Linked DNA regions of Styela clava. The protein of the gene in region 1 purifies or fractionates together with the protein of each later gene. This does not show direct contact. Links are inferred from orthologs where the notes say so. Each region holds a gene or a part of one and is shown on either strand. Other genes may lie near its edges.

The links. The genes of interacting proteins can lie anywhere in the genome.
Region 2: the proteins of kinesin heavy chain-like (region 1) and fasciculation and elongation protein zeta-2-like purify together in Drosophila melanogaster (affinity purification with western blotting; 3 studies listed by BioGRID). This does not show direct contact. The link is inferred for Styela clava from reciprocal best matches to the Drosophila melanogaster genes Khc and Unc-76.

The regions. Positions count from the first base shown.
Region 1 is NC_135262.1:2,470,120-2,481,378, forward strand, and holds the start of kinesin heavy chain-like, read left to right. Parts: upstream 1-6,299; 5' UTR 6,300-6,433; coding exon 6,434-6,478; intron 6,479-9,228; coding exon 9,229-9,330; intron 9,331-11,259. Other genes in the region: uncharacterized protein LOC120332555, read right to left, coding at 1-727. UniProt on the Drosophila melanogaster protein: Kinesin is a microtubule-associated force-producing protein that may play a role in organelle transport. Milt and Miro form an essential protein complex that links Khc to mitochondria for light chain-independent, anterograde transport of mitochondria.
Region 2 is NC_135263.1:11,069,338-11,080,611, forward strand, and holds the start of fasciculation and elongation protein zeta-2-like, read left to right. Parts: upstream 1-6,207; 5' UTR 6,208-6,224; intron 6,225-7,192; 5' UTR 7,193-7,485; coding exon 7,486-8,769; 3' UTR 8,770-11,274.

The DNA.
Region 1 (11,259 bases):
CTCGTACTTGTTGCCTAAGCCCTCGAATTTCTGTCTGCAGGTCACGAGTGATTTGTTCTTGCATTGTAGCCGTTTGTTGGAAATGTCGCTCTTCGCTTGCATGCATGTCAGATTGTAAGCGTAGATTTTCCTCTCGTTTCCCTTCGAGAAGTAAAGCGGTTTCAGTGTGTTGAGTGATTCTTTGGTCAAGTTGAGATTGTACGAGAGCTAAGTTGTGTTGAGTGTGTCGTAAATCTGAATTTGTGCGGTCTAATTCTTGTCGTAAATTTACAATTTCAGAATCTTTTCGAGCTATATCTCGATCAGCAACGTCTTTAAGCTTTTTAAGTTGGATAATTTCTTCTCGGAGCATTCCTCTATCAACGTCAAACGTTGTTACTTTCGCTCGGAGTTCTTGATCAAGACGATTCTTTTCATTTGTGAGCATTGAGATTGAAGCGTCCTTTCTTGAAACTTCGATTTTGAGATCATTCGTTTCGCTGTGTCGTTCCTTGAGCTGAGTCATCATTTGATCAGCTTCTTTGACTAATTTTGGTTGAATATCGGTCGCTTTTTTCGCTTGATCTCGTAGATATGTCGTTTCTAACTCAAGGAAGTAGATTTGTTGTTGCAGATTTTTGATGTACTCTGATTCGACCTCTTTTAGAGTGCTACTCTTTCCTGGCGAGTATGCTGGCGGATAAACCGCCTTTTTCTTTTTATTTTCGGACCCTTTTTTATTCGGCATTTTGTGCTTTTTTAAGACAAATTAAAGAAGATATATATAGGCTGAAATTAAATAATATATTGTTGGTAATCAGATTTGGAATTCCACAATTTAAATGACATTATTTTCATTTATTGCAGTATTATGCTCCATTTTCAGACAGTGTCTCATTGCTATCTTTGGCATAGGATCTTAGTCCCAGGGAGAGAAACGCTGCTAAGATGGCCTAACATATGGCAACCATGCTCTCTTGTATGATTACCGGTGCATTTTGCGTATGGAAATAGTTACCCAGTTAACTTGTTTCAGATGAATGAACTTGTACGAATGCTAACCTTTCGCTAATACTTGGAATGGTATAAATTATTTGGAAGTAACCAATTTTCCATTATCAGTGAAGCTTAAAATTCTCAGTAGTTGATTGCAACTATTTGGGCTAGTGCTTCATTGAGAACAAGGAGCAATGTGGAACAAGCCTATGCTTCCGAAAACCAATAATTGGCTAACTAATACCATACCCAACATGTACCGGTACTGGTAACCGGACGAGAGGCAGTGGTTTGCCATATATTTAAGCCGGCGTATCACTTTCCTCTCCCTTGGGATAAATATGTAAATCCTATCCTACTGTATCCTAACTGTGAGGCTTTGAGTGAGTGGCTCCACATAAATACATCTGTCTCAGTAAAACCACTTCCAATCTCTGAAACCCCAGACCAATTTAGATTACTGCAATAAACAACAAGACACAGAGCGAATCTCCCTGCTTTTTGTTTGCGCTACATCTTTTTACAGTTATTGGCAGTTCATGATATCAATGCCAGGACACCGGTAACCAAGTAAATTGTACCGGTACCTTGTAAAAAGTACAACAGCCCAATAGTTTATTACTATCATGTATACATACATTTGTTTGTTAAGTTTGGCCCAAGCCTCATTTAATTGGGCTTGTATTTTTGTGGGCAGGCACATGAGATACTTCTCATTGTTTTATAAACTTTTTTATAGGTTTTGCTTGCCCTCCAGAATTCTCCATATTTAATTTATGTTTGTTATGGAGTTTTCGAAATAAACTATCTATCTATTTTCCTAATGCTTTAATTTGCAAATTTACATTGCATATAATATTTGTACATAACTTGCGATTAGCTAAAACTACAAATAACCTAACGGTCTTCTCTAAATAACATAATCATTATCACAATAATGTTCCAAATTAATCAAATTATCGCGTCTGAATTATTTAATTTGATTACAAAGTTATCGCTATCTCAAATGTTTGCAGAAGAAGCGCGTCATCAAAACGTCGTTATGGCAACTGATCACTCACTTTGATTGATCTTGAGTGACACCTCGCGAATGAATAAATTCGTAAATTAGTTCGTAGTGTTTGGAGTCGCCTAAATTGTTTCACGGATAAAACCGGAGTGGAGGCTTGACCATACAGCTCGCCCGCCGGCACGGTTTCTTTCCTACATCCTCGACGACCAAAAAAATGGCTGCTTAATCTTTGACGCCCGTTAAAAAAAAAAGGGAAAATAGTTTTTTTTTCGCCGGTCTTGGTGTGGCATCTTGATTTTCGCGGGCCTGTTTGCTCCCTTGGGTCAGCCAGAGCTGTCTTTCCGCTTCCTTGTTGGCATTAAGCAAGCATTGTTTTCTTTTTCCTACATCCAAATCTCGGGCATAGGATGAAGATGCTCTTTTACTTTCTCCTCCTTGTCTTGGACCTGCTCTTCTGGCACTCTTTGCCTGACTCACTCACACCTGCGTTGTTTTTTCTGTTTTCCTGTATTTTCTTCGGCTTTTCGCCTGATCCTTTCTCGCTTATCTTATTTTATTGTCCTGCTTTTGCTATTGGCGGTATGCCCTTCTTTCGGCTTTCCTCCCGTTCCCAGCCTTTTCTTTTTCCTCTTTTCCCAGTCTTTAGCTATCCTCTGCCTACTACACATGGGGATCCGCCTTTGCCTGCTCTGGTAGCCTTTTCTTTTTCCTCTTATTTTCTTTTTCCTTTCTTTTTTCCCAGTCTTTAGCTATCCTCTGCCTACACATAGGGGTCTTCTCTTTGGATCCGCCTTTGCCTGCTCTGGTGGTCGCACCGGCCTTCCGCTTCATCCGTCTGTCTGTTGTCCGTTGTCCTCATTTCTGACTGGTCTATTTCACTTGACTGCCTGCTCCTGGCGGTTCTCCCTTTTATCTCCTCCTCGCAGAGTTAGCCCAGGCTCTTCTTTTTTCACGCATGACTCATCTGCCTTAGTGATTCCACTCCAATCTGCGTTACTGTCTTCTCATGGCCTTCCCGTCTAATCTGCACGTCCGCTTTCCTTCCTTGTTCATCTCACTTGCCCGCCTGCTCTTGGCGGTCCTACCTTATGCCTGCCTTCCTCGCCTACTGTCTCTACCTAACCCACACACGGTTCTTTCCCATAGCTCCGTCTATCTCGTGGGATTCGAACCCACGCTTATACCTGGCCCAAGGTGTAACCATGTCTCTACGCTTCCCCTGCGCCACCGATACCGACGAAGACCGTTGGATCAGAATCTTACCTAATTAACAGATTTTAATCAACGTCACGCTTGGCAACCCCAGACTAATTATCTCAAATTACTGGACTCGGCAGTTGGCGAAGGGTGCAAAGCGTTAGATCACGGTTACCCGGCGCCGGATCGCAGGTTCGAATCCAATGAGGGACAATTATGTGCGAGAGGATTGCTAAACGCAAGCGCTGGTCAGCTAAGACTCCCTCGACCATAAAGTCCATCCACGAAACAAACAACTGGTAAACTATACTTATGTATACTACGCATGAACTGGTCATCGGACGACATAATTTTGTGCGCGATGTGGTTGGCCGTAACATCGGCCTGTTTCTCCACGGGATAAATTCCTATCCTGACTTATGCAATAGCGTATCAGCTTGCAGCATTGGAAGGCTGGAAGCCTGTGCATTTATGTCTGAATGGAAACTGTTGGCAACCGGATTTTAATACTTGACATAATCAATTTTGATTATCATATTGTGGCCACTCTGAAAAAAAAAAAAAACGGACAAACAAAATGTAGAGGACCTGGACGGCGAGCAGTCATAAGAACACAATAAAATAAAGACACGATATAAAATCGGGTAATACCTTTTAAATCAATTTAGGATGTGAGACACTGATCGAAAGGAGATCATGGCAATACTTTATACACACTAGAATTCAAAAAAGAAAAATGTGGTTGCGGTTCTTATATCGTGCAATATTTTTTTAATGGAGAAATCTAATATTACATTTGTATTGACTATTGGTAGTGGTATTATATTGGTATTTTCAAATTTGTGGAAATTCCATAGAGCTGGCGATGTTTTTCACTTATATTCTATGTCGCAAGGTGTTTTGAAAACTTTCCGAAATTTCCGTTTTGTGTGTTATCCCTATTCTATGGACGTTTCCCCGACCCTTGACCCCTGGAAAAAATATTATCAAAAAGATACAATGTTTACAACCATGCTTGAATATCTATAAACTCCAATTGTTACGTCATTGTTAACTTATTGCTGATTTGTTATTGTTACGGAAATAAACAAACAAGTTGCTGCACGGGGAAACATCCTGTCATAGCAGAGTTTATGAGATTTTTTTCATCCATCTGCATAACCACAAACTATCGTTTGGCTTCAAGTCCGTGTTCGAGACTACATATTTTATTGAATGAAAAGGTACATGGTGGCTAAACAACACGAGAACATCATCTATACTAATTGTTTTATTTAATTTATTTTATTTTTTCACTATTTGTATACTTTCCTCTTGAACATAAAATGTTAAAGGTCGTTTAATACTTTTTAAAAGGTCAAACAAATCGGGTCATCTCGGCACGATGACGTCATCCCCAGACAGAACGATCGATGTGAAAGCTTTGAGACAGCAGGTGTCGAGGGGTGGCGGTTTGTGATTTTTAGTTATTCGAGGGTTTGCAGTTGCCTCGACAAGGCTATTTCGGTTTGTAATTTTAGGTTTCGTTATTTTTACGTTTGGCTGTGTGCCTATTCCATTAATGAGTTGATAGACTTAGTTTTAATGCAGAACCAAGTGGAATCTCAGCCGTATTGTTTCTGCCATTCTGAGCTGATTGTCCTGTTGACCGTGACAGCTTGACAAAATACCTACCGGTAGTACCGGTATTAAGTTTTACTAGTTTGCTTAAGCAACTGATTATGTATAATAGTCTGTTGCAATATAATAGTAATATTACAAATCAAAGTAGTTAAATCTTGCAGATCGTCTCTTTTCCTGTTATTCAGTTATTGCGAAAGACTGAAAGAGGGATGGGCCTAAATAAATCTCATTCCAGTATTCTATTTGAACTATCTGTGGAATAAAAAATAGCAACAAAATAATTGGGAGTTTGCAAATGGATTTGCTTGGGTTGCATTGCTCATCAAAAACAGTCACTACAGCACTAGGGTGGCTTACCCACTTTCTGACTTTGCGCCCAAGACCTAATTGCGGCCATCAACTTCGACTATCTAATTAATGTCGAAAATTTATCGAATTGTGACGATATTTCTCACACGTTACCGTCCACTTGTCCCTCGTAGCTCTGCGAAATTACACTAAAATGCGGTCACAAACAAAAAAGTTACAACCGAAAACCTGACCGAGGAAAAGAAACGGACCATTTTTTCATGTCGCCAACTACCCATTGTCCCATCAAAAAAACTTGAAAATTCATACAAATATAAGAGATAGAGTTGTGTTTCTTTCAACCATCTTTAAATTTTCGCGTTTTTACGTTGTAAAGGAGGGGGAATAGGGGGTGCGCATTTCCAATACGTCGATAATATCTTTGCCGACCAATTTGTGACCACCGTGCTTTTGTCTGTTTGATTGCTGTGATGCGGTGCTTTGTATATAATTTGACGAGTTTTGTTCGAAATGACTGTGTTCTTAAAATATATGACGGTCAGAAATGCAATTAGAAGCCCATTTTTTCATGCATGGCTGCGTATGCCCTAGTCTTGACACAGCAGAAACGATGTTTAAAGCTTGAAATCTGTGGTCGCACACTGGTTGTTCGGTCGCAAATATGTCTTCCGAGTGTCGTACTTTGGTGGTTTGTATAGCTTTATCCCCTGGTTGTAGAAAGGTAATTCGAGGTTTAGCATGTAGAATAAATGCCAATGCACCTACGGTGAACGGGTTCGAAATATTGGTTTTTGTTTTATAGCGGTTTGAATGGAATCGTCAGCAGACTGGCAACACCACCCTACATTTTGAAGTTTTCTTTCAGGAGGAGGTTGATTTAACTGGGTTAATTCATATTGCTGTATTGTTGGATGCAGAACGGAACAGAGCTAGAGAACATTTTTTTGCTAGCTTCACAGAAATCATGGAATATATTTTATGATCATTATATTCTTTTTACTTCAATGTGTACTGTATTTCGTGCTATTTTTCTTCTGTTTCACGCTTTATTCAGTAAGTAGTAAGACCCCAATCATAGTGATGCATCACCTTTGAAAAACCTTTAGAACACTTGTGCACACTGAAAGTTGCTATTGCTATGATCATTCACAAATTTAAAAATATTTTCTTGTTCTACAGGGATTTATTAGTAGTAATATCTCACTTGGTTAGGTATTCTTTGATCAAATACATATGAATATTTAGAAGAAAATATTCCAACGTTCATTTGGAGAATTGGATTATAAACTGCTGAACTGTTTGGCGTCTTGATTCAAGATGACTGACGCAGGAGAGGCTTCATCGGCAGAATGCAGCATAAAGGTATTGTGTATGTTTATTGACGTTGGTTAGTATCACACAGCCCAATAGCCATTTACGAAGGCCATTTAAATGACGCTTAGAACATTATATCTTTCCCTAATATGATGTCCATATGGGGGAAACCATTAATGTACAGATTAGAACCATATTATCTCCATCTTTACTCCTAACCTTCTGTCCACGTGCCATGTATGGAGAAACCGATCAAATGATGATTGACAACTTTGATAAGATAGATAATTTGTCTTAACTTTGCCATTGTTCCAAACAGTAAATTATGATATACAAGACGAACACACAGCACAGATATTCAGGAAAGAAGATAAAACTTCAAGTTGAGTTAAGAAAAAAATGAGAGTACTACATGGTTAATTTATTGTGACATAGACTATAAATTCAGAAATGTACCACTTTCGACAGAGAAGAGTAAGCAATACAAATAGTAATTGGTACTATTATATACCCATTCTTATTCCTAACCTGATGTATATATGGTAGGTCAATAGACCTCTGCAGAGAATGCCATTTGAATGATGATTAGGACCACATTGGGGCTGGGCATTTTGAATCGAATATTCGAATCGAATAGTAAATTATTCGAATCGGTTCAGAGCTAAATTTCGAATCGCCGCCATCTTGTTTTTATCTTTCCGCTAATGGTCGAGGTGAATTCCCTAATTTTTCTTTTATTAGAGTCATATTTTTTCAACGGAATTCTAACATACGACTATTTTCTGTAGTGAGTTATTGATAAAACGTGTTTGTTATTCTGTGTGAACGCTCAGTAATCTATCTGAGTGAATCATTCTATGTCTTCGGTAATTCAATTGTTGAGAGGACCAATTACTATAATAAAGTCGCTTACAATTATATATTTCCAAGTATTCGAGATTCGATTCGAGAAAATTATTCGATTCGATTCTGAAATCACAAGGTACTCGAAAATGCCCAGCCCTAGACCACATTTCCATTTTTACCTTGCTATCTATCTTGCAGCTCAGTAGCCCTCTAGTGTAAAGCACATTTATTCGAATAGCGATTAAGACTATAGTTCCACCCCTATTCCTAACTTGCTGTCTATATGATAGCCCAGCAGCTCTCTACTGAAGAGAACATTCGAATGGTGACTGGGACCTTATATCCATCCCCATTCTTAACTTGTCTATATGCAGGGTTGCCATCTACCCAGAGCCAAAAATAAGCACGGGCGTCAAAATGGTATTTTTCAAGGGGAGGGGTCTTAACAACGGCAGAATAAGAATGAGAAGGAGATCATACACGAGTCTCCCACTTTTTATCATTAGAAGTCGCTTCGAACATGGTTGTACGCAGCTCCAAAATTGCAAAAAGCAATGGAAAGACACGGAGTCACTGCCACACGCTATCTCTAAGACAAGGGTCGGCAACCAAGTGTTACGAATCTTGGCGGGCGGCACATATTTTTTCCAGAAAGCTAAAAACTGAACGGGTGACTGATGAACCACATTATTTATACAGATTAGAAATTCAAATTTTGCACTTTAATAGCGACTTTGGTTTCCCGCAATGCGGTAGTATTGTGGGCACCGATTACTGTTTTCCACCTTTCTCGATGTCGCAATAGCAGTAGTTAATAGAAAATTTCTTTTCATGTTCGAAACAGAACTCATGGTCACGCTTACTCTAAATTGCAGTTAGTCCCTAAAAACAGTATTCCTAAAAACTAGCATCAACTATTGTGTGTGTCACAGTTTGCCTGGAAATACCGCAAACCCCACCGTTGAAAAAAGTTCGTCTGTCGTTTCCACGCAAGCTTTGTACACAAAACAAGTACTGGTCACCCACGTTTCTAACACCAAATAAGCACGCAACTCAAAAATAAGCACTTTTCTTAGAAATAAACACATAGTTACTTTATAAGACGCAGGCTAGAGAATAAGCATAAATCTTATAAATAAGCACGATATGGCAACCCTGTCTATATGGCAGCCCAAAACACCTGAAATGAGACCTCTAAAGAGAATGCTATTTAAATGGCGATTTGGACCATATCTCCTAACCAGCTCATCTCTATGGAATCCCAATAGTCCTCCTCCACCAAGATTGTCATTTAAATAGGGACCAATTATCTATTTTTATCCAACTATTTATATGACAGCCCAATAGACCCAAAAAAACAGGCTTTCAAATTATGATTGAATCTATATATCCAGCTTCATTACTAACCTAATTTTGGCTTGAACGAATTAAAGGAGAGTTGCAAGCTTTCATTGAAATACTGAATTTGTGTTAAAAATTTCTGATGTGGGAAGTTTAGATGTTTCAAATTAACATTTTGATTTAAAATATTCAACCACCTTTCATATAGAAGTATCGATAAAAAAGTTTGGCATAATCTATCACTGCTATTTCTAGACAACTTTTTGATTACTGCTATTAAACTAAAACTCTAAGTGAGGGAAAGTATAATTAGGGTATTTGATCCATACTTGAATCCGAAACAATACTAAAAACTGACAATGTTAACAACGATGCCAAAAATTTGTCTGAAAGACCAGCAATAGCCTACTCAACAACTGATAAAATTTTCCATTGTTATGTCACTTTTTGCATGTTACTGATTAGTTAATGTTACGGAAGTAAATAAGGATGTGCTTCGGGAAAAAAGGTCATGGTTCGTTATTCCTGTGCTGCGACAGAAAACCATTTTTTGATGTGAGACCTGTGGACGAAAATCTATAAAATAAGCGTACTTCTATATTTTTTTTCAGGTAATGTGTCGGTTTCGGCCGCTCAATCCATCAGAAAAGACAAGAGGGGATCAATTCTTGGCAAAGTTTCCTTCTGCTGAGCAAGTTACCTTTGGAAGCCCGGTATGAGAAATGTTTTTTCACTTTTTCCACATTAAAAATCTATGCCAATTTCAATTTAATTGAGTTATCGTATAATATAAAGTGGAATATTGTGCTCAAAGTTGGCCAAAACTGAATACATTTAAAATTATATTTTGAATATGAGGTATCAGGGAAGTAAAAGTTCTTACCATACAGTGTATATTCAATATTTTGAATTCAAAAAGACGTTTATTAAAAAATATCGAATATATTCTAATTTGAGTCTTGCTCATTGAAAAGGCAAATAAAATTGTTTGTCTCGGGTGTGCACAAAAGTGAAATAGACAGTTATTTGATAGGTTTCTGATATTTTATAATTTGAGAAATCTCACTAATTAAATGAAAGGGTTTCTGTTTCTACTGTTTTTTTATATTGATTATTTTTAACTTGCCTGTTGTATGCAACCCAATTTACTTTATGTATAGTGTGGACATGGTCGCCTAGTGCAGGGCTACTCAACTGGCGTACCCCGGTCCGAATCTGAACCGCATCTCAATCTTTATTTTGAATCATTAGCCTGATTTTTAACGTTTCATTTTATAAAATGACTTATTGTTTTGAATATATATGAAAAGAACTATAACACCATAATAAACAATCTTGATTAGCTGATAATCATTGACCGGTCGAGGAAGTGGGCGTTAATAAAGGATGCCGAAATATAATTTCTGGAAACACCGGACCCAAATAATTTTGTAGTTTTGTATGCGGATCTTCGGTAAATACAGTTGGGTGCTCCCGAAGTATGCGAACCAAGATGGCGGACATCGGAACGTAACAGGTTAGGGTTAGGCGATAATATTTTTCCAATTTTCCTTATTTTAGTCCTATTATCAGTTTGAAGATTAGCCAAGAGCCTCCCGTAGTATTTATACCTAAAATTATGGCTTAACCCTAACCTAGTACACATATTACATTCCGATGTCCGCCATCTTGGTTCGCATACTTCGGGAGCCCCTATAGTTGAGTAGCCCTGGCCTAGTGGTTACCAGTAAATATGATTACATATTTCGGGATCAATGTCCATGCCATGCCCGCCACTTCACCCTGGATAGAATGAATTATGTAGCCGATGTCAAACTGAAAACATTTCGTTCTTCCCAAACTACAGCGACAGTATGGCTGCCTTGTACATAGAAAAGTTTTATAAATACTTCATAGGAAAAATTTATGATATTCAAAATATTATTCCAGAATGTATTCGTAATAGTAAAAAGAATAGAATCTTTTTGGTCATCCTTGCTCGCAATTGAACTTTTCACAATGTACGTCAATGTTGTTTATGTTTTTGAGTTATATTACCATAAAAAAGTGATTTTCTCCTATGGATTATTTCATCATTGAAATTATTTCACATGGTTGTCATTGCCGCACTGACGATTATTCGATTTAGACTTTGCCTTTGGGGCTCTCTGTGTTTGGAAATACTAAACTTGTAAGAGGATTTCCAATATGACTTGAAATATATATTTGACATAGTAAATTCATTATTTGGTAAGGACTAATTTGAAAATGTGGCAATTGAAGTCTAATAAGTAGTTTTTATACTAAAAATACATATTGTATGAATAAAATAATGAAAAAAAAGGCCTTTCAAGGTGAAAAGAAACAAAACAGACAAAGTAACACTATTTTTCTGCCTCGACTTATCAGGTGGTAATATTGAAAAACCCTGATTTTTAGCACTAAAAATTGATCTAGACTCATTAGCCAGAAAATACGGTATTTTAGAATGTATTTGAAATAGTACATTATTTGGTTTGACCGATTCTTGCGTAAAAATTCAATTTGGTCCCATGTTTAGAACTACATAATTGAGCAAAATTTGTGTATATTTTATAAATGTAATGTAATGTCCACTACCTATAAATTGAAAGTCTCACGTTGTGACCAAAAACCTGAATAGG
Region 2 (11,274 bases), on another chromosome or scaffold:
TTATCGCCGTTAGAAAAATCTCAATAACTTCATTTCATACAATGAATATACATATAAAGTTTAGCAGTAAATTAAAAATACATATTCATCGCCGCGATTACTCCACCTGTTAAAAGAGCCGACTTTTACAACGAATAATATAACAACAAATATATATTTATTTTTCTGTTGTGCAAAGTGATTAATTCGTGACCAATACGAGCATATTTAAAATGTCTTGCTTTAATGATTTAATTGTTTTCAATTTAACCTGCGGTTGCGTCGACAAAATAAAATCCTCACCACTCTAATATGCCATGGCATTCGCGGACATAAAAATAAAAATGTGTGGTAAACTGTCCGATTATATATTGTTTTGATCCGTATTTTGCGAATTCGGCAAATTTGAGATGTGTAACACTGACTCCGCTCAATCGAAATGCCGCCACTCCGATTATTTTTGAGATAAAACCGTTCGAAAAATCCATAAATCTGCCGTAAAATCTCAGAGTAAAATTTATTTCAGCACAATAAAAATTGATTGAATATACTTAAGATTAATTATATTATATACATTCTCACAGCCCGGTAAAAGTCGCGTTTCAAACCTTGTATAATGTTAACACAAAAATTTTCGACGGCAATTTAATTGAGGTAAGGATAATCAGGCAAATCCCGCCCTCAATTAGTGACGATATGTTTCTAAACGCGGACCAAACATAATGTGGAAATTTTGCGATTTTCACTGCCTAAATGAGCGTTTTTTAAACTGTCGCGGGCCTCAATAAAACATATTTTGTTTACGGTTTTATTTTCAGTATATTAAATTGCCGCTTTTCAATCAAAAAATTTGAGTTTTATTTAGAAACTCGCCGCCGATGAACGTACTCTCACAATTCACAATTCTGTGCGAGTACAAAAATCAAATCAGTGTCATCGTTATGTGGAACAAATTTGTGGAAAATTTTCGTTTCAGAGAAAATAACACAAACGTAAAGGCGTTTACGGCCTAAATAACACGCCCGCTGATAAAGCAATCGCGCGCAAGTTCTTATCAAGAATGTTTTCACTCAACGGAAACGTCTTGAAAGCGGCGTCGAAAATGTGTAACGTCACACAAATATCCGATATTCTCATGAACGCTAATTCCGATATTCGAATAACGAGATATTCGAATACTTTATTCGAATTGGCCTTTCCTGCCCCTGGGTTAGGGTTTCCAACTATGAAAAGTTTTAATAAAGGACATAGATTACCGTCATCATTTATTTTGTAACTTGCGAAAGAACAGTATAAAATGAAATAAAAATTATATACAAGTCAAAAAGATATATTGAAACAGTCTTCATGTATTGTTTATTTAACATTGACCCAAACAATGTTAATAAAATTGTTATTTCTTTCGCTATTTGAGCCGGACAAAAGCGAAATTAAGAATAATTAAAAGCTTGCAAATACATAAACGGATACGATTTTTAGGAACGGAACAATACCAAACACAGTACTATAACTATCGGGCAAAACGATGTTGGAAAGCATAAAGGATGATTAGCATCTTTTCTACAAGGACAAGGACCTAAAAGCTTAATAGGATTATCCCATAAAATAAATGACGGTTGGCAACCCTACCCTGGGTGGAAATCGCAGACCGGTCGCTTATGCACATTCACGTTGCGTGTATCGGCGGCACTCTGCTATGTCAAGTGAAGGCGGATTAGATCAGCACGGACATTGGCGAGCTAAAGGACAAGCCATAAATCCTGTCATTTTGAGTTGTTGCATGGCAAAGTACACAAAACACGACACTTGAATGAACGTGTGCTACAAACAATTACACAAATCATACCATTTTGTGTTATTGTTTTCATTTTGTCAATCATGGCCAAAAGTGACACTTGAATGAACGTGTGCTGGGACAAGCCTCAAAGCATGTCATTTTGGGGCTATTGCTTGCATTCATTCAATCATGTCAGAAAGTATGCTATAGTTCAGGGGTTTTCAAACTTTCGGTATTATGGAGTCCGTGGAGAGGTTGAAATAAATTTATAAACGATTAATGTTCCTGAGTAAATTAAAAGTACTTTATTTAATGACTATTTGCTGCTTTCTATTTAAAAAGGATTAAATTGCGGTTGTCAAATTTTATTAATGCCGTTATTGCTTTATTAGACAATTACAAAATTAGCCAGGTCAATATTTTAATGAGTATACGAATAGTTCGCGGAGCCCTTGGGGTTTTCTCACGTAGCACTGCTGCTCCGTATAGGGCTCTTTGAGAACTCATCTAGTCTTCCCAAACACAACACTTGAATGAATGTGTGCTTCAAAACATTATCATGTACAGTATACACATTGGCTATAATCAATTTTATAATATCAATATAGAAACCGCAAGATTGATGAATCTCTGAAATTTTGCGTTATAGATAATGAAGTTAATCAATTTAAAAGTACAACTGTCAAAAATTTATATCCCAAGATAAAGCATAAAGCGACATATCCCTCACTGGGTGACCGTACATTTGAACCCACGTACATTTGAACCCATGCGTATATCCGCGGGTTCAATCTATATGCGGTTGCTAAAACCCATGGGTTAGGGTGAGTATGGGTTAAATTATCCGTAAAACAAAAAATTTCCATATGTGCAATAGTATGCAGGTGCAATTGTCATGGGTTCAAATGCCGTGGGTTCAAATGTAATGGAACCCCCTCACTGATATTAAATTCAAAGGAACAGAATGACATTTGTGTCAATGGTGATTGTCCGAATTAGAGAAGAAAATATCTACAGTCAACAATATTGGAAACTTATTTGACTAAATCATGTGATCCTCGATTTAGTGAAAAACTGTAAGGCTGTTACAAATTATTCGCAGAAAGAAGTTTAAAACTTTTGCATTACCCACCTTGTTCTATTTAACATGTTTTTTATTTTGAATTTTCTTTTGTATCAAAAAACATTTCGTACGACCCACCCGATAGGATTAAACGTATATTTCCAAGTCCATTACACAAAAAGGTATTTTTCACGTCAAATAAACTTCAATGTCCAGAGCTCGGCGACTGACGCAGCGTGCCGAGCGTTTGGAATGCACTGCCACCATACCTCTAATTAGATTGACATGTTGGAATCCATTGAAGTATGCCTATATGCGAGGTGATTGGTGGACTGCTCGCCGTCGAAGGGTGGTTCACGTAACCCCCGGTCAAGAGGAATGTGTTTAAATTGAAAAACCAAGTTATAGAAACAAACAACTTTGTAATAAAAATATAATGAAACCAACGTATAAACTGTGTTTTATTAACTGCAAGATATTATAATTATAAATGTAAACTACGTAATGAAAGGCCTCAATTTGATCAATTTTTATATATGATAAAAAGCGTTCTTAACCGTGAAAAATTATTCAACTAAAAACTGTCGAACCACGTTAAGAGGTGGAAAATTATCATGAACTCATTTTCTTAAATGCGACTTTATTTATGTGTTATCGTGTGTATAAAAAGTAATGTTTTTATCAATAAAAAAAATATATGATGATTCTATTCTAAAATCTCAATACGAAAATTCCTTTTGGCATTGGGATTTATTTCGCAAACAGGGTCACGGGTTTCTCTGCGTGCATGCATATGGAACAACTGGATTACTACTGTATTACCAATTACCATAGCCGACGTGGACTGGTAATCGAACGAGAGGGCGTCGCCAAATGAATAAACCGCCTTATCGACTCCCCCAGATTAGGGGATAAATATGAATTCATATCCTACATCATTTAACTATAGAAGGTTGTCATTTTCTGTGATGTAAACAGTGGTGGGATTCAGCTGGTTCGCACCGGTTCTATAGAACCGTCTCACGGAAATTTATGAGATCAGCGAACCGGTTAGCACAGTGGTTCACAACCAGGGTAAAGATTTTGGTGTGCCGCAAAGAGATTTCATTTTTGAATTTATATCAAGTGATTCCAATTTTTAGTCCCTTGAATTCCAGAAGAATTACTCACAGCTCTTGCTAACAAACAGAAGCGACAAATTTGAGGAGTCGTTTTCAGGTATTTGGGTATTGTTTTAATTCTTAGTTTTGTATAATGCGCGCCAACACCGTTTCGTAAAATTGAAAATGTCAACCAAGGTTACAAATTATTGTGCGAAATTTTTCCCAAATTTGAGGAAGGAATTATTATTTGACTAGCAGAATTGTCATTATTGCCTATTTATTTAATTATTATTCAAATTCAAAATAACATTCAGGATTCACGCAATGACTTTGCAGAGTTTTTATTCACCATTTAATACGAAAATTAAACAGACACAATAAGAAAGTAAATTCATAAGAAGGTCAACTATCGTCTTTATAAATATCCGCTTTCCGACGTCAGAAATGATAATATTGTTAGCTCAATTGGGACCATTGGGACAGTTAATTTACAATCGGTGGGGAGAAAGGTCAAAACCGGCGTAAAAGATGAAAATCAGAATAAAATCTTTAATAGCCGTCTTCAACATATGTCGCCCATATGAACGCATAGTTCTCCTAAAAATATAAAACCAAACGTTGCGTAAGAATTAGTCCTTGTAAAAAAAGAGGACTGGCGGAAATAGCTCATCAACATTAGAATTCCTAGCATTCTGGATGCCCATTTTATTTGTATTAAAAATATCCGATATTCGACAATTCGTTAAAAATATTCGAATAATTCGATTCGATAAAAATATTCTTTTTTGCCCATCCTTGCGATCTGTAATCATGCCAGTAATCAGGCGAAACGAGTGAGAGCACAAACACTGATGCAATGAAACTTAATAATAGAACCTTTATTAAATGTAGTAAATTGCACTACTTCACGAAAGCGTGGTGGAATTGACGATTATTTCATATCTCGAACGCAGAAACGGTTATTTTCCGGATAGTTTCTGCGGTCGGAAAGTCGAATAAGCGTTTCGACGTAGTAAATGCTATGATCTTTGCCATCAAATTATGCTCGGGCCTTGTACGAAATTCATAACGTGAAAAGATTCGTTCATCGGTGAAAATTGTTTATAACAACTTTAAACCTATTTAGTGTTTTAGCGATAATAATTAATTGTTGTAATGAAATACGGTTTGTTTGCCTCCTTCATTTATTTCGCTAGTGCCGACAATTACCGTTGAATGATTTTGGCAATGAGAGAAACATTAAATTGTAACAAAAATAAATTAGGTTGTGCAAAAGTGAGAATACCTGTGATAATAAGAAGGCTACACCCAGGGAAAGGGCGAGAAAAACCAAAGCGTATCGCGTCACGACTATTACCCGTGCAGCCGCGCATCTTATACAAAAATGTGAGGTGCTCTGATGGTGGGTCTCGTGTACGTTATTGTAAGAAAACAGTTATAATATCGGTAACTATTAGCCACCCATTTTAAATACAGGATATGTTATATTAACAAAAATAGAATTTCTCTTATTTGATCTTCTGTGTTTTTGGACACGTAGTGGCATCGTTCGATCACGATCGTTTCAATATTATGTTGTTCTTGTTCTTGTTGTTATTTGACACAGAGTAACACACCCAGTGGAAATATTAAAAAACCGCTTTTCTCTTCGAATACTGGACCAATTGCTTTGAAATTTTCAGTGGTTGAAGATAAAATTTTTCCCCAGAAATGTTCCTGTTTTGTGATAGGTGTGCCGCGAATATTTAAATAGTTCAATAGTGTGCCGCGACATAAAAAAGGTTGGGAACCACTGGGTTAGCATTACTGAAAAAACATGACTTTTTGTAACAAAACCGGCTGAAAGATATGTGATGGAACCGGCTGACAAAAAAATTGGATCCCACCACTGGATGTAACATATATGATTAACGAGGAAAACTATACAACTGTTTAATTTTAATTATGGAATCGATAAAAATTCCCTAAATCGCCAAAAATTTCCTGAAAATGGGAAGTTTGCTGAACTTCTCGTTGTTGCGGGATTGTTCACATGGGATTTTTTCCTTAACAAAATCGAAAGGACTAGAAGACATTTTTTAGTACGCATGATATGATTTCATATCGATTTCCTGCTATCTCGGATGGATACAAATTGTGTTCAAAATAGATGTCGGGAATTTTACGACGAAGGAAATATTTGTACACTATTTTCCCGGGTCAAAGGTCGAGTTGACTGACATTACCCAAAAAGGCACAAGGATAAGGAACCCATCAAAATAGCTGGGGGGGGGGGGGGGGGGAGTAATTTACGTTGGTACCGGTATGTATATTTATTTCATTAGTTTAATCTGAAGCAACAAAATTTATAATGTAAAAATTCATATTGGCTATGAAATACAATTTGGCAATACACACACACGCACAAAAAAATGCAGTTTGTTTAGTCTTCCTATTGTTTTCAGCAAGTTCGTGATCGAATGATTCTCTCCTATTCACTGATTTCATTTCAAATATTTAAGTTAAGTACCGGAATCAGTTGGCAAAAAGATAGGTTTAGAAAAATAGGTTGAAACAATAAACAGAGTTCAAGTTCAGTACTAGTTGGCCCACCAGTAATTGGAATTTGGGTCATTCTGTCCAGTCATTCAGTCATTGCTGCATTGACAGGGAAATCAAGTCTGTTACAGTGTCCTGCTGTCTAGAGGTCTGAGCCATTCAACTTGGTTATCATACATGTTCAGATATTGCTGTATATATTGACCTCAACAACCTACCTAGACGTTTCGGCGAACCTACGCCAGCACGCTACTAGGATAGGATAGGATAGGATTTACATATTTATCCCGGGGGAGAGGAAAGCCAATAAGACGGCTTATCCTTATGGCGAACCACGGCCTCTCGTCCGGTTACCATTCCAAGTCGGGTATGGGATTAGTTGTATTGTTTGTTTTCGGAAGCATGGACTTGGTGGTGGAGGAAGCCGTAACCGACCAGCGGTTACGTGAACCACCCAACGACGGCGAGGAGTCCAGCAATCCTCACGCACATAACCATCCCTGCATGGGATTCGAACCTGCGAACCCACGCAGAGTAATTAGAGGTGCGGTGGCGAGCGTATTCCTAACGCTTAGCCCGTTGAGCCACTCCGCCGCGCAATTACCGCCTATGCAATTACCGTACATAGCCTAGGGCCATGAGGTGACATCTGTATGTCATAAGACTGTAAGACATGTCCTCATATTCTGATATTGCTGTATTGAGTTAGGAGTTTGTTTATTATTCTTTAAGGACCACTTGTCAACTGCAAAAAGACTATATTCGTTTTTTAAATTTGTGACATGAAAACATCACCATTGGATTCTTCAAAAAAGAAGGGGTTTACACTTACTGTTTGTTTGATGTCTTTCAATGTGGGGGCTATTCTTGGAATCGAAGAACTAATATTCTGATATACAGATAATATATGATATACAGAGACCCTGAGACCAGAGATATGCTGATAAATGTGAACATTTTCTTGTCCTGGCCTTTCCTCTTTTCTTATTCCAGTTTGATTTATTTTTCAGTTTTTAGTCTATAAAATGACTGCCCCTATGGCAGAAACTGAGGATGATTGGGGAAATTTTTCATCAAATTCATTTTCATGTGATGGAAAAAAGGAGGATTGCTTCAGTGATGATTATTTCAATTCTTTTGGAAATGGAATAACGCAAGGTCTGAATAATTGCACAACATTGAACGTTGCAGAGAATTATGGAAGTATGGAAGATTTGGTTAAAAAGTTTGAGCAGAAGATTTCAAAATGTTTTAAGATACAAAATAAATCAAGTAACAATGATAAAATTGTAAAACCATTACAAACATTAAATGATATTTTAGACTACAATGATATTTGGAAGTCGATCACTGATAACTATGGATTAGTTAAACCATTGGATTGGTGTAGTTCACAAATTCGTAAATTACACATTCCTGCTCTGGATCTCAACATATCAGACCAAAGCAATGTAGAAAAAGATCTCGATGGATATTCAGAATTTGAAAGCAATGAGCTTAAAAATCAAATGGATTTTCACAAATTAATTGAGTATAATGTATACTCAGAATGTGAGCCTTATCAAATGTCTTGTCAGAATTCTGAAACAACTGGAAATGGGAAATTACAATCTGCGGATGAAGTCATTCAAGAACTAGAAGAAATTATGTTGGATGCAGATGAGCAGGACGCAGCATTTGACGACGAGTTGGAACAACAAACTGGAATTATCATTGCTGATACTGATGGAAGCATAGATGCATTTTCAATTGAAAACGACCTGATGAGTGACGAGAGCAGTATAATTTATGGACGTAACTTGGGATCGCCATCCAGTCAGGAGGAAAGTGACAGAGCGTCTAGTCTGAAACAAATGTCAATTGCGGAATTAAATGAAGAGCTGTGTAGCTTGGAAAGTACTGTCAAGTTTCTTTCAGAAGATTTGTTGAATCAGTTAAATTTTCGCGATGAGCTTTTATACGAGAAAGAAGTTCGTAACACATTTATTTCCAAAATATTAGAAGTTCAACGTAAACAGGAACAATTTCAGCAGAATGATAAAGCGCATTCTAGCAGATTCAAGTTAGGGAAATTGTCAAAAAGTTTCAGCATGTCAAATGCATCAGTGTCATCCTCTCCTGGGAGATTTCTCACTACTGTAATTCCTTTTGACGAAGGTGGTGTTCCTCCACTAGAGGGTCTTCAGGCTCTTATTAAATTACTAGATGCCATCAAAGCAGATAGTGAAGAAGTGCCGTCGTTGATAACCAACTATATATTGAAAGTATTAGTTCCGGCACCGACAAGCGCACGCACTTTGACTTTATAAGATGCCGCAATTCAAATGACGCATGGTTATTTATTTATTTGACTTTTCAATGCAGCTTTTCCTAGGAAAAGTTATTCCAAGTTCGTCCATTTCAAATTGTGTTATTTTATTGGTAATTCTATTATTTGATCAGCTTCATGGTCAAATTTTTGTGTAGTTTGTCCCACTCAATGATAATGTTCCTAAAGATGTATTAATTAGTTTGCAGTTACCGGTAATCAATATAGTGATGCTCCATTATGAAATTAACAGTCTTAATTGTGTTGTGATCGCCCTCTACTCAGTTTAAATTGGCATACTTTGGGGGTACGTCATAGTATCAATATTGTAATGTATAGAGTATCGCAAATAAGACAATATTTTGTGACATAAATTGATTTTTCAACGTTATATATTATATATTGACGCTTTCCGCTTTCATAACCAAATTCTGGAGTTATTTGGATATCTCTCTGCAGCAGTGTGCTAAATTTACCTATGTTATAAGGAATTATGAATTTGCAATTGCTACAAAACTTTACATTGCTTGCCAGTTAGTCATTCATGATAGGTTTAACTTTTATTATTTTGTTATTTATCTTTGCTTTGTTCCCATAACATTATTCACTTTGCCAGAATCTTTTTTTATTGAATTCTTCATTTTATATCCGTCAAATCATTATGCAAGATAACCCGTTAGAAATAAATTTTTTAAATCGGTACATTTTATTTAGTAAAGTATGGTAGTTAATAAAATATAATTGTATGAAGGTTATTACACTTTTCAAGCCATATCTTGACGCTTTTTCAATATCAGTATTGAGTAATTTTAGTGCAGTATTGGTAAAAAGATCGGATGTGGATGGGACTTTTTGTTGCTACTACTACAATAATTAATTTGTCAAGTGAAACGTTTTTTTCATATTTCATATACTTCTGTGTATGTTAAGTGTTGTAGGAATATACCTCAAATCATACTCCACTGGGCATAACTTAATATTCAAACATAATCAGACAGACATACTGACTACTTGGCCACATTGTGCCGGAACAAATTCTTTGTATACTTAATTGATTTCATAATAATTTCAATAATAAATTTAAAACAAAAGCTGGCGACACTGTTGTACATTTTTAAAGGGGTGCCGTGTGTGTATGATGTTAATAATACTTAATTTGTTAAATGCTTTACCTGCAATTGATTGTTATTTAATTATTCTCAGTGTTAATGAATATTAGTTTCGATTGAGCTGTTTATCAGGTTTTTATAACTCTGTAATTCACTTCTTTGTCAACATAGTAATTGCAACAGTGGTGCCTGCTGTAGAATTCAATTATCATTATATATTTAACAGTATCGTAATCTCAACCTATTGTCAAACATGTTCTTTAATGATACAATTTATTTTTTTTGCTGACACTTCTTCACGAGCAAAAATATGTACTCTGTAAAAATTGTCCTTTCTAGACTTGAGGTGTGCAACCAGATTCCTGTATTTAGAGTTTTATGTGGGATTTTATAACTCCAATTGCATATATCATGATTTGCTACAAAAATTTTGCTACAATTTTCCTATAAATCAAGGTTTTATCTGAAAAAGAATTCTAGAAAATTAAACTATTAAATATGAATATCTCGGTAAACGTTTGAACAATGAATTAAATGTAGGCAGCGATTTAAAAATATCAATCTATTGTATAATGAACATCTCCTGAGTTTATTATTTTCAGTCGCTAAGACTGGATTATATATACCAGTATATATTCCCAAATCTTTTTTGGAAATTCATATTAATCCTGCACTGCACACTGATTTTAAATAGGTTCATGTTTTTTTTCAAACTCAATATTCAAACAAATAGTTTTCTGTCTGTTCTTAATTTTTGTCATTTCTATTGATTATGGTATTTTATCAGCAAATACTAACTGTTATAATTTTCATCCAAGACACTTTACTACTCTTCATTTTTCTTCAAAAACATTACTACTTTTTTTTCACACTTCTTGTGATTGCTTAATAATTGATGTTTGCATGAGTAAATTATATTAATTATTGTATTAATTATCACTTGCTCTTTTTACTTGCCCAGTTCTAGTTTGTGGCCACACAGTCCCATTTTATACTATGTTTGTATCATACTTGATATGAATAGATTGTTCATGTTTGACTTGCCCTAACTAAAATAAGGACCATTTTTATCGCGTATTTTCTATATAAATATTTAATACTCAGAATAGATATATAATATCAAATATTGTTAATAAATTGAGAAGGCAACTTTTTATAGGAGCAGTTAAAATAACTTATTTTAGTACAATTCATATTTTGTTATACAAAAATTCTGTAGTATATTATTCGTCAACATCAAATTGATTTCTAGTCATATTAGAGTATCCACTGTTGGGTTATTATAGCATTTTATTGAGGGTGCTGTTATTTATCATTATAATTAGTTATATTATATTTTGTCGAATAAATATCAAGAAAATCATTTTTAAATTTTTAGTACAAGTCACAACATAATT